3 linked regions of the Oryctolagus cuniculus genome follow. The protein of the gene in region 1 binds, or shares a complex with, the protein of each later gene. Links are inferred from orthologs where the notes say so. Each region holds a gene or a part of one and is shown in the gene's direction. Other genes may lie near its edges. The genes, in order: SORT1, GRN and NTS.

The links.
Region 2: the proteins of SORT1 (region 1) and GRN are in contact, whole or in part, in a crystal structure (PDB 8T8S), measured with the Homo sapiens proteins. The link is inferred for Oryctolagus cuniculus from reciprocal best matches to the Homo sapiens genes SORT1 and GRN. Residues at the interface, in NP_002950.3 of Homo sapiens: Leu108, Gly110, Ser111, Val112, Ser113, Leu114, Ile174, Gly175, Pro176, Lys260, Tyr304, Ser305, Phe306, Gly307, Leu308, Phe314, Ala315, Ser316, Arg325, Ile327, Phe350, Tyr351, Ser352, Ile353, Leu354, Tyr395, Thr398, Gly399, Thr402, Phe404; in NP_002078.1 of Homo sapiens: Pro578, Arg579, Trp580, Asp581, Ala582, Pro583, Arg585, Arg590, Gln591, Leu592, Leu593.
Region 3: the proteins of SORT1 (region 1) and NTS are in contact, whole or in part, in a crystal structure (PDB 4PO7), measured with the Homo sapiens proteins. The link is inferred for Oryctolagus cuniculus from reciprocal best matches to the Homo sapiens genes SORT1 and NTS. Residues at the interface, in NP_002950.3 of Homo sapiens: Val112, Ser113, Leu114, Ser115, Trp116, Lys260, Tyr304, Ser305, Phe306, Gly307, Leu308, Phe314, Ser316, Arg325, Ile327, Phe350, Tyr351, Ser352, Ile353, Tyr395, Gly399, Thr570, Gly571, Leu572, Ala573, Trp586, Trp597; in NP_006174.1 of Homo sapiens: Leu152, Tyr153, Glu154, Asn155, Pro160, Tyr161, Ile162, Leu163.

Annotation. Positions count from the first base shown.
Region 1 is NC_091438.1:61,110,665-61,114,310, forward strand, and holds part of SORT1 (sortilin), read left to right. Parts: intron 1-463; coding exon 464-654; intron 655-2,748; coding exon 2,749-2,938; intron 2,939-3,646.
Region 2 is NC_091448.1:18,942,958-18,947,119, reverse strand, and holds the start of GRN (progranulin), read left to right. Parts: upstream 1-1,320; 5' UTR 1,321-1,473; intron 1,474-3,540; 5' UTR 3,541-3,547; coding exon 3,548-3,685; intron 3,686-3,757; coding exon 3,758-3,883; intron 3,884-4,008; coding exon 4,009-4,093; intron 4,094-4,162. UniProt on the Homo sapiens protein: Secreted protein that acts as a key regulator of lysosomal function and as a growth factor involved in inflammation, wound healing and cell proliferation. Regulates protein trafficking to lysosomes, and also the activity of lysosomal enzymes.
Region 3 is NC_091442.1:88,635,924-88,639,569, forward strand, and holds part of NTS (neurotensin/neuromedin N), read left to right. Parts: intron 1-2,380; coding exon 2,381-2,605; intron 2,606-3,646. UniProt on the Homo sapiens protein: Neurotensin may play an endocrine or paracrine role in the regulation of fat metabolism. It causes contraction of smooth muscle.

The DNA of each region.
Region 1 (3,646 bases):
GGTTCTCGAAGGGATTACATTTAGAGCAACTCAGATTAAAAGCATTGCTTTTTCCAGTGACTCCCTCTAGCTTACACATTTTGTCACTGTTTAAAAACATTCTTTCTCAACCCCCAAATATTACGCAAGTATCAAGCGTATCAACTCTGGGTTAGAAATGACTTCTTGAGTGTACAAGTTCTTATAAAATAACTTGAGTTTACTAATTTAAAAGCCATTCTTACCTGGGTCACTACCCTTTCCTCTTCCTTTGAAATGACTTTTATAGAAGTATTTACTCTGTACTCTGTTTGAATCCCCTTTCCCTGCCCTGTTAACTGTGGTACTAAAAATTAAAATAATTGTAAGCCCTCACTTCAAAAGGGTTTGTCTCTAGTTTGGGATCCAATAGCCAGAGCGGTTTCCTGTCATTCCCTGAACACAGTGATCATCTGCCATGGTCTTTCTCTGATTGTGCTTTTAGGTTCTCTACAGATGAAGGTCAATGCTGGCAAACCTACACGTTCACCACGGAGCCCATCTATTTCACCGGCCTGGCTTCGGAACCCGGGGCCAGGTCCATGAACATCAGCATTTGGGGTTTCACAGAGTCTTTCCTGACCCGCCAGTGGGTCTCCTACACCATCAATTTTAAGGATATCCTTGAAAGGAACTGTAAGTGCCTCTTTCAACCTTTTCTAACATAATCTTGTAAGCCTATTTCTCTCAATAATCAATTCAGTTTCATTTCTTTTAGCTGGAATAAGCAAATGCATACACAAGGGACTGAAGGATAATCAAGCAGTGGAATGGACCGGAAAAGCAGTTTCCTTCTTGGGACTAGCACTATCCAAGAGAAATACGAGGGCCAATAAGTAATTTCAATTATTCTGTCAGCTACATTATAAAAGTGAAAAGAATGGTGAAATCTTAATATAGATAATATATTATGATTTCAACATTCAAGCAATATTAAAAATGATTAGTAAGGCCAGCACCGCAGCTCACTAGGCTAATCCTCTGCCTGCGGCGCCAGCACCCCGGGGTCCTAGTCCCAGTTGGGGCAATGGATTCTGTTCCAGTTGTTCCTTTTCCCGTCCAACTCTCTGTGGTGGCCCGGGAAGGCAGTGGAGGATGGCCCAAGTCCTTGGACCCTGCACCCACTTGGGAGCCCAGGAGGAAGCACCTGGCTCCTGGCTTCGGATTGGCGCAATGCCAGCCGTAGTGGCCATTTTGGGGGTGAACCAACAGAAGGAAGACCTTTCTCTCTGTCTCTCTCTCACTGTCTATAACTCCCTCTATCTCTCTAAAAAAATGATTAGTGAGATTTTTTTCATTTTTTTTCTTCTAAGTGTTCAAAATCTGGTATATATTTAACACAGCAAACCTTACACCAGACCAGCCACGTGGGTCTAGTGCTACCCCTTATCACAGTAGGGCTTTTGCACTGTTAGAGCACTCTCTGTAACTTTTATGTGGCTTTTGTCCTGCTTGTAGGAATAGTATCTGAGTATTTGTCTAAAATGATTTCATAACATTTCAGGGTTTTTCACCTCTGATTAGGGAAATGTAGTGGGACTGTGAGGAGGAAATTTTAGAGGAAACTATTGCGAAAGAGCATCTAATTGTGTCATCTCAGTGTGCTGAAGTGAGGACGCTCTCATGCAGTTTTGGTCAGAACCTCAGTTGCAGGTGAGGCTGCAGAGTGGCCACTGGGCCGACAGGAAGCCCCGTCAGAGCTCTGTGACTTCAAACGAGATGTGCAAAGGGCTTCAGTGTTCACTGCACGGTATTCCCAGACTCCAGTGCCAGCAGTGCTGACAGTTAGAGAAATAGGAAAACCTGGAGAAAAAGTGATCTGTGTTCCACGTCGGCATAATACAGTCAAAGACTCAACGTCAGGACATCTTCACTGAAGATTGTTATGGGTCCATTTCCTCAAAGTGTTAATTCAGTGACTCCTGAGAAACACAGCTGTTGGTTTGGACCCTGTTTAATTATGATTTAATACCTGAGGGTCACTATCTCTAAATTCACTAATTAGGCTATAAAAGAACTGGCTTATGAGTCTTCCCCTCGGAGGGCAGTTCAATAGCTATCCCTAAAGTTAAAATCATTAAAAGATTTATTCTACCTGCCCTTCAAACAGGCTCTGTGCTGGTCTTCATATCCCAAAGGAGGAAAACCTAATCCACAGTCTTCAGGGCATAGCCTTTGAGTCATTTTTCCAGGCACAGAAGAGACAGTATACTAAGCCAGAAACTGTTGCCACCAGCAGTCTGCATTTGGGAGCCAGTTGGGTAGAGTTAGAAGTGTAGAAAGAGGTCGTTTTCCCTGTGTTTGAAGCAAACTCACACACGTGAAATTGAAACTGTGCTCTGTTAATTAGTCTCCTGTCCTAAACAAAGAGCCCCTGAGGCTGATGGGAAAGCATGTGGTTGCTGGCCAGGGACAGAGGTGCTCCAGGCATGCATCAGCCACCCCTCAGCCTGGAATGAGCTCTGGAGGGCCTCTTCCCAGCCTCCCTCCCGGAACAAACAAGGTCTCTGCGAATCCTCCAACTGTAGGGGAGGGGAGAGAGCCCCCTCTTGGCGTGAAGAGATGGCCACTGCTAGTTGACTCTAGACTTTTTGTCTGCACTTCCAAAATGAAGCAAGAAGCTGAGTCAGCCATTCCCTGTCTCCCTGTCCTTCTTTCTGTAGCCTGGCAGCTGCCTCCGTGGGTGGGTTCTGTGCGCATGGTTTCCTGAGCAGTCCGTCTGTCCTTTAGGTGAAGAGAAAGACTACACCGTATGGCTGGCGCACTCCACAGACCCCGGAGACCATGAAGATGGCTGCATTTTGGGATATAAAGAACAGTACCTTCGGCTACGCAAATCTTCCGTCTGTCAGAACGGTCGAGACTATGTTGTCGCCAAGCAGCCGTCCATCTGTCCCTGTTCCCTGGAGGACTTCCTCTGGTATTTGCATTCCCCAGACTTTTTTGTCAGCCCCTTTCCTATGCTGGAGGATGAAAGAGTTGTCGTAGGGCTAAAAAATATTGAAATCCACTCCCCAAGAGTGGAAAGCTGCTGCTTATCAAGAAAATTGAGGCACAGAGACAGGGAACCAAAGTTGTTAATTATTGGACAGATAATCATATTGCACAGGTAATTACTGGGCAGAACCAGCAACAAACTACAGAAATCCTGACTTGGCAACTGTGGGAAGAGACAAGCAGTATAAGAAGGAAGCCAGTAAAATAAAGCATCTCTAGAAAGCAACAGAACAAGCACCAAGGAAAGCGGTACAGGAGAGAGGACACTGGACTGTAGGGCGTAGCCTGGCAGCTTGATTTCAGCAGGCAGGACACTGGGGTCTGGACCCTATGCAAGACTGAAGGCAGAGATGGCGGTCTGGTCTTGAGACTAGAGGTAGCATCGGTAGTCTTGGTCTCTGTGTCCCATCAAGGTTTAAGGGCTGTCAAGATGGGCGCCCTGGAGTTCAGGATCATCAGCCTTAAGGATTAGTTACTTGGTTGGCAGAGAGTTAGTCAATTATATAAAGGCAAAGGAACTCCTGTGTGGCTTAAATGAGGTAATGTTAGGGCAAGTAAGAGGAACTGCTTCACATCACATGTAATAATCCTTTGGAACTTGTTACCTGCAGAAGACATGGACAGGATCCTA
Region 2 (4,162 bases), on another chromosome or scaffold:
AGCAAACGTGAAAGGGAGGGAGGCCAGGGTGGCTGGGTGAGGGAGCCACAGGCCTGGTCAGGGGCCCGTGGGAGGCTCGGGGAAGGGACGCGTCGGGCCTGACCCCCGGTGGCAAACGTTTCCATGAGCCCGGACGTCTGCCTCTCACGTCCCCTTGTCCCTGGGCGTGGAAGTGCCGCGGGCTCGCTGCAACCACTGGACAAGCTCATTGCAAACCGATTGCACACTTCCTGCCGCCAGCAATCAGGGCAAGGGCACGGCTGCTCAGCCTCACTGCCGGCCTTGGAGAGGGCCGCCTTAGGGCATCCAGGACCTTGTGCCTCTATCGCCGACGTCCCCAGCGCACTGGACTTCTAAGTTCTTCTGTGAGAAGTCTGCCTTCTGCCATTTTCCTATTGAATGCTCTTAATCTGTGCGACCGCTTCTAGAAGCCTCAATGCACACAGCCCCCGATCTTTTCAAAACTGCTTGTTGCTGGGAAACGAGAACATTAAAAAGTGTGCAAACTAACAGAAAAGACGCCCGGTGTGAGGCGAACACACCCCTCACCCCTGAGGCCGTGACAACCCCAAGACGTCTCCAGACGCTGCTGCGAACGTCCCCGGTGGGCAACACTGCCCCCGTTGGGGAATCTCTGCTCTCCTCACTCGCCGTGTCCGCTCCTGGAAGGCAGAGCTGACTGAAGCTAGGAGCCACTTGCCCTCGCTGCCCACCCGCGCCGGGCGCCCCCCTGGCTCCGGGCCTGTGCGATCTCCCAGCGCCCCGCCCCGCCCCCGCTGCGACCCAGGTCCTCGCGGGTTCAGCTCGAGCCACTGCTCCCACGGCCGACTTCAATCCCTCCTTCTCGGGCGTGAGCCACCCTCGCTCCTCTCCCTCCAGCACCTCCACGGCACCCGGCACGCGCGCTGAGCCTGACCCGGCCGCTTAGGCGAGGGTCTGGGAGCTGCCCCTTTCGGCGTCCACAGCCATCCCTCATCTCCCCTCGGGGTTCGGCTGCCCGACCTTTAACGCGAGGCGGCTCAAAGAACAGAAGCGGAGTGCACAAAGCTCCGCCGCCCAGCGCCCGCGAACGCCCGCGAACGCCCCGCAGAGGCGCGGCCGGCCGGCGGTCAGCGTCCACAAATAACGCGGGCCCCTCCTCCCGCACACAACTCCAGGCGCCGGCGGCACGCGGCTGGCTGCGAGGCTGGCAGCGGCAGCCCCGGCCGAGGCGTCATATGATTCCCCAATCACATGATCCCAAGAAAATGGGGTGTGGGGAGAGAGAGGAAGGGGAGGAGGAGGCTGAATTGAGAAAAAGAAACACAGCTTTCCAGGCTGGCCCCGCCTCTACGTCGAGGACTAGCCAATGGGGGCGCGGTATCTGGGATCCCCGGCCAATGGAAACAGAGGAGGGTGGGCCAGCGCGCTGAGGGGCCGGCGTCCGTGAGGGGAGCCGCGGCTGCTGCCCAGGGAGCGCGGACGCGGACGCAGGTAGCAGGGCGGCGGCGCAGGGGCTTGGAGGGGGGTGTGGGCTTAGGGGTCCTCTGGCGTCTCAGCCCGGAGGCGAGAGAAGAGCCGCTTGTGGAAACTCCTTTAGGGGTTTCTGATGCACGGGGGTAGGGGGCGCAAGCAGTCACTGCAGACACCCCCACCCGAGGGGGCTTCTCTGCCTCCCAGAACCCCGGGAGCCGCAGTCCCCCCGATTCTTGAGCCTGCCCCACCGCCTGCAGGCAGGTGCCGGCTCTTCCCCTTCTGGCGGTGAGGGTGGGGGGTGGTCCCTGAAGGGGAGGCCCGCCCGCCCGCCGCTTGTCCCGGGGCGCAGAGGGGCTTGGAGCGGGACAGGGGAGAGGTGACTGAACCCCCGGGTGGAGTCTGGCTCTTCCCCAACTTCCTCTGCCGGGGGGCGGCACGAGCTAACTTCCGCCTCTCCCCGCCACTTTTTCCTGCGCCTTCGCAGTTCACCTTTTGGGGAATTTCCTGGCCCCTTGGCCCTGGGGTTGGGAGTGCCACTTAGCGGAAGGTGCCAGGGGCTTACAGAGGCTCCGTCCTCTCCGGGCCGGGGGTGAGGGTGGGGTGAGGGAGACCCTCGCCCCATCGCCGGGGCTGTGCGCGCCTGCGTGCGTGTGGATTCGCCAGAGCGTGCACTGCACTCCCCCCACTCCAGATACAGGGCGAGGAAGATACGACAGCTAGGTCACGGGCGCCGGGTAGTCCCGGGCAGACAGGCCCCCACCTGGCGGCCTGCGCTGGGGCTGGGCACGGAGAAGCAGGTGCAGGCGGCTGCGCGGGCTCTGCCCGGGAGCTGAGGGGCGAGCGCGGACCTGGGGACTCGGTCCAGGACCAGGCGGCTCGGTCCAGGACCAGGCTGCGGCCGCGAGAGCCAGGGGGTGGCCTTCCAGGTGTGTGGGGGGCCGGGGGGGGGTACTTGAGCAAATGCAGGAAACACTTCCATTCCCTGCCTGTGCCTGGACCCCAGGCCCACCCCTCCCATGGTTTGGGGTCCCTTCCCGGGCCGGCGTGCCCTGAGCCATCAGGGCCCGCTCTCACTGGAGCTGGCACGGGGCTGGACTTCTGCCATAAAGCCTCGGGCTCCAGTTTCCCTCTGAGGGTAAAGGTCGTGCTCCTCACGCTGGATGATGGTTGCAAAGCAGTAAACAACCAGGAGTGCCCCGGCAGGCATGCGGCCCGGCCGGGAGGCAGGGTAGCGCTTCTTGGGTTGGCGGCACAGGCCCCGAGCCCGGGGAAAGACTTGTGTGGGTAGCAGGAGGCGGCTTCCCCCAGGAGCCTGTGGCCGGTTCCTCCCGCTGACTCAGATGGGCCGCCCAGCGGGCGCAGTAGCCTCTGCCCACATGTGGCTGCTTCATTTCCAGCAGAGGAGACATGGGGATGGGTGATGTGTTTGGGGACTTGACAGGGCCCTTGGTGGTGTTGGGGGCCCTCAGCACACAGGGATCTGGAAGCTGCCCTTGCCTCCGTGTCTCCTGTCCTGGGTGGGGTGGGGACCGCCGCGGGCAGCAGTGAGGGAGCCCTGGGGAAGACACCCGAGTCTCCACTGGCTGCCACTTCCTGTTTCACAACTTTTCTTAACCCTGTGGCGTCCGTGTCAGGAAGTGACCACTGGGCCCTGCGAGACCACAGCAAGGGCAGGTGTGGGTGCAGCGTTGGGAGGACTGGCTGAGGAGTGGGGAGCCTTGGATGTTCCTGGAGAAGCCCCTCCTGTACCCCAGCCCCATCCTCTCCCCTGGCCCTGAGCCCCCCCCCCCGAGGTGGCCCACGTCTCCACACATCACATCCACAGAATCCACACTGCGTCTCACAAGCCCGCGTCTGCACACTCGCACACGGAGACGCAGGAGTGTCACGTGCTTGGAACATGCAATGACACACAGGGAGGAAGCTGCGTCCGAGCCACACGTTTCTGCGTCGGGACGGAGCTGGGAGGCAGGCTCCAGGTCTCCCGGGCCTGGACGTCGGCCTGGGGCTGCCTGAGCGAGCGGCTTCAGACTCTGAGGCGGCCTGGACTTCAGCTGGTTGACAGGTGCCCGTTGGTGTTCGCAGGCAGACCATGTGGGCCCTGGTGAGCTGGGTGGCCGTCATGGCAGGGCTGGTCGCTGGAACACAGTGCCCCGACGGTCAGCGCTGCCCCGAGGCCTGCTGCCTGGACCCTGGAGGAGCCGGCTACAGCTGCTGCAGCCACGTGCCGGTGAGTGCCCGGCTAAGAGCCTTCCCAAGGCGGGCAGAGGCCTTCGGTCTATTCTCTGGCCTCTCTTTGCAGGACAAATGGCCCCCGACACTGAGCAGGCGTCTGGGCAGACCCTGCCAGGTGGGTGCCCACTGCACCCACGGCGCCTCCTGCGTCCTCACCGTCTCGGGCACCTCCAGCTGCTGCCCCTTTCCGGAGGTGAGGGCACCGCTTATGCAGTGGAGGGGCTCGGAGCTGCCTTTGCACTTTGCCTGCCTGCCTCCCGCCCCCCGCCCCCTCGGGTAGGAGGGCCATCCCGACGCAGGCGCCTCTGTGTCCCACAGGCTGTGTCCTGCGCGGATGGCCGTCACTGCTGCCCTCGGGGCTTCCACTGCAGCGCGGATGGGCGAGCCTGCTTCCGGGCGGCAGGTGCGGCAGGGGCACAGGGGAGGGCCGGTGGGCCCGGAGCCCGGCCAGCGGAGTGGCCCTGTGTCTTGC
Region 3 (3,646 bases), on another chromosome or scaffold:
AGGAGAGACAGACACACACACACACACATTGAGAGAGAGAGAGAGAGAGAGAGAGAGAGAGAAGTCTTCCATTGCTGGTTCACTCCCCAGTTGGCCACAAGATCCGGAGCTGCGCCAGTCCGAAGCCAGGAGCCAGGAGCTTCCTCCATTCTCCCATGTGGGTGCAGGGGCCCAAGGACTTGGGCCATCTTCCGCTGCTTTCCCAGGTGCATTAGCAGGGAGCTAGATCAGAAGTAGAGCAGCCAGGACTCAACTTGGGACCCATATGGGATGCCTGTGCTGCAAGTCTGGGCTTTAATCTGCTGTACCACAGCACTGGCCCCTCTTTTTGAAATCTTAATAGTTGTGTTAAGGATACTAAAATTTTGTGCCAGTTTTTTCTACATAGATTGATTTTGATTGAGTTCAGGATGCTGTATGTTTCCATAGAGATATTGGTGATTTACACATTTCTGTATTTAAAATCATCTTTGTCTTTATGGAAATTGATTTAGAATCTGCTAAGGTTATCACTCCTGGCTTGTAAAATAAATTGTCCTACATTTTCACAGTAGTTTATTTTATTCATATTAATCTATCTGGATATTGCTTGAAAATAACACATCAAAAAAGTTCTAACTAGGGACTGGCTTTACATCACAGTGGGTTAAGCCACTGCTGGCGATACTGATGTCCTATATTGGAGTGCCAATTAAAGTCCTGGCTACTCAAGTTCTGATCCAGATACGTGCTAATGTGCCTTGGAAGGCAGAAGAAAATGGCCCAAGTACTTGGGCCCTACCACGCACATGAGAGATCTGGGTGGAGTTCCTGACTCCTGGCTTCGGCCATTCCCAGCCCTGTCTTTGGGTATTTGAGGAGTGAACCAACAGATGGAAGTTCTGTCTCGCTCTCTCCCTCTCTGTTATGTTGCTTTTGAAAAAACAGACATATAATAAGTCTTTTTAAAAGGTTATAATCATATCTGCATGTAAATATCTCCATAGATAACTGTCCCAAAATATTTGAGATGCAACCTTTGCTGTATACAACACACAAACATGCACTTGGGTCCGTTCTGGAACATTATATTCTCTTCCTTTAGATTTTGTGTTTATCCCTGCACTATTAATTCACCCCTTTGATTACTGTAGCTTTCAAATGCATTTTAACATTTAGTAGAATAAGCCTTTCCTTGACACCATTTTTCTACATCTTCTTGGTTGTTCTCACTCGGTCAAACCTTTATAATTATTCTGCCAAATCCCATTCTGCAACTTCCAGGATCCCTGTGTTTTCCACACTGGAACACTGATTTACAATTACATTGTATTTGGAGAGTAGTTCAGAAAAAATATAGCTTGATATTATTATAATTAAGCCTGTCCATAATGCCCTTGTGTTCATTTAAATCTCTTTTTTAGTCTTTGAGAAAAAATAATATTTGTGCCCTTTGAATTTTTTGCTCATTTTGAGTATTTCACTGCTAGGGGATTTCCTACTCCTTGTTTTCTTATTGGTTATTGTTGATATGGAGGAACATTGTTGATCATGGTTAATTATGGTTTTTAACAAGACCTTATTAGAGGGGCCCAGCACTGTGGCACAGCAGGTTAAAGCCCTGGTCTGCTGCATGGGCATCCCTTATGGGCTATGGCCTGGGAAATCAGTAGAAGATGGCCCCTGCACCCACATGGGAGACCCAGAGGAAGCTCCTGACTCCTGCCTTCCAATAGGCGCAGCTCCGACCATTGTAGCCATCTGCAGAGTGAACCAATGGATGGAAGAACTTTCTTTCTGTTTCTGACTCTGACTCTCTGTAACTCTGTTTTACAAATAAATAAAATAAATCTAAACAAAGGCCTTATTAGAAAATAAATTCCATGAAATATTATAATTATAATTCACAAATAAATTGGTCAGCTCTAATGCTTGCATGACAGGTATTAATGTGAGGAATATGTTAACAGCCTCACACTATTGTAATTGTCCAAGTCTATTAATATCATTTTAGTTCTTGCTGCATTAGGCACTAAGCTGGAACATAATGAAAAGCAAATTATATTTTTTGAATTTTAGTTTTTTCATCTCTGACATGTGTAGACATATATATGTCTACTGGCCACCATCTATAATATCTTACTTTCATATATAATTGTTGTGTATATGCATGTATGTATGTGTGTGTATGTGTGTCTAACTCTATTATGTATTCTATTATCCAGAGAATGCCAAGAATTTAACTTATGACATGAAGTTATTATATCAGCAATACTATATTTATTAGGCTAGAGTAACAATTAAACTCCAAAATGCCATGAATTAACTTAATAGAAATTTATTTCTTACTCATATTCCACAAGTTTTATTTCAAATAGTTGTTTTGCCTTCTGTATTTCAGATCACTAAAGCAAGTGTTCCTTCTTGGAAAATGACCCTGCTCAATGTTTGCAGTTTTGTGAATAACCTGAACAGCCAAGCTGAAGAAACAGGAGAGGTTCGTGAAGAGGAGCTTGTTACAAGAAGGAGATTCCCTACCACTTTAGATGGCTTTAGCTTGGAAGCAATGCTGACAATATACCAGCTCCAAAAAATCTGCCACAGCAGAGCCTTTCAACACTGGGAGGTAAAACAAAAACAAAATATGAATATAATTATATGTAAACTAGTTAGCTCTCATTTGTATTGATTTTTTATCCCAATCATATCATAACAGGAAGAATCACGAATATTAAAGAATAAACCATGTGCTGAGATCAATATTCCTCCAAATCTTCAAAGAGTTCTTACAATATTTGGAGTTTAGAAAAAATATTTTATCTTAAATCTTAAAAAGGGATAGATTTTAAGGCAGATTTGATCCATATGCTTTATTATGCTTAAGTGGATGACATGTTTTGGCAATTTTTGATGTTGGTGGTGGTTGTGGCATGTCTAAGAAATTTAAGGAATTCAAAACGTTTTCTTAGAAACACAAAGTCATGTGTTTACTTATCTACAAACAAATGCAAGATGCAAAGTGTTCCAAATAAAACCAGAATAAACACAAAAGATTTTATTTGCATTTGAATATATTATGCAAATAAAATACACATATACATATGCATACAATCATTTATATAAAACATATGATAGGGAGATATATCCCTTTCATTTCATTTTTTAAATTTATGCAAATAAAATACACATATACCTATGCATACATTCATTTATATAAAACATATAAGATAGGGAGATATATACCTTTCATTACATTTTTTAAATTTAATTTGTATTTAAATACATTATGCAAATAAAATCTTTTTGTAATTTGTAAAATATATATGATATATATTTTTATCATTCCACTTTTATCCAGAACTCTTTGATTTGTGTTTGTTTATAAAGAAAAATACATGACTCTGTGCATGTGTTTGTAGTCCTATTTTAAATGTTTGTGAATTTCAGGCATTCTTAGCAGCTAAACTAGGTTCACTATAGCCACGACAGCTAAGTTTCATCATACAGAACTACAATGAGAAACTGGGTGAATAAGTTGTATTAAGTACTATGCTGGTACTCACCACATTTTATTTGAGAACGTGTGTTTGGAAAATTTCAAGAATCTTTGGTGAAATTTGACTTGCAGTTAGTGTTATATCTTAATGTTAGCCGTCGCAAAGCACAC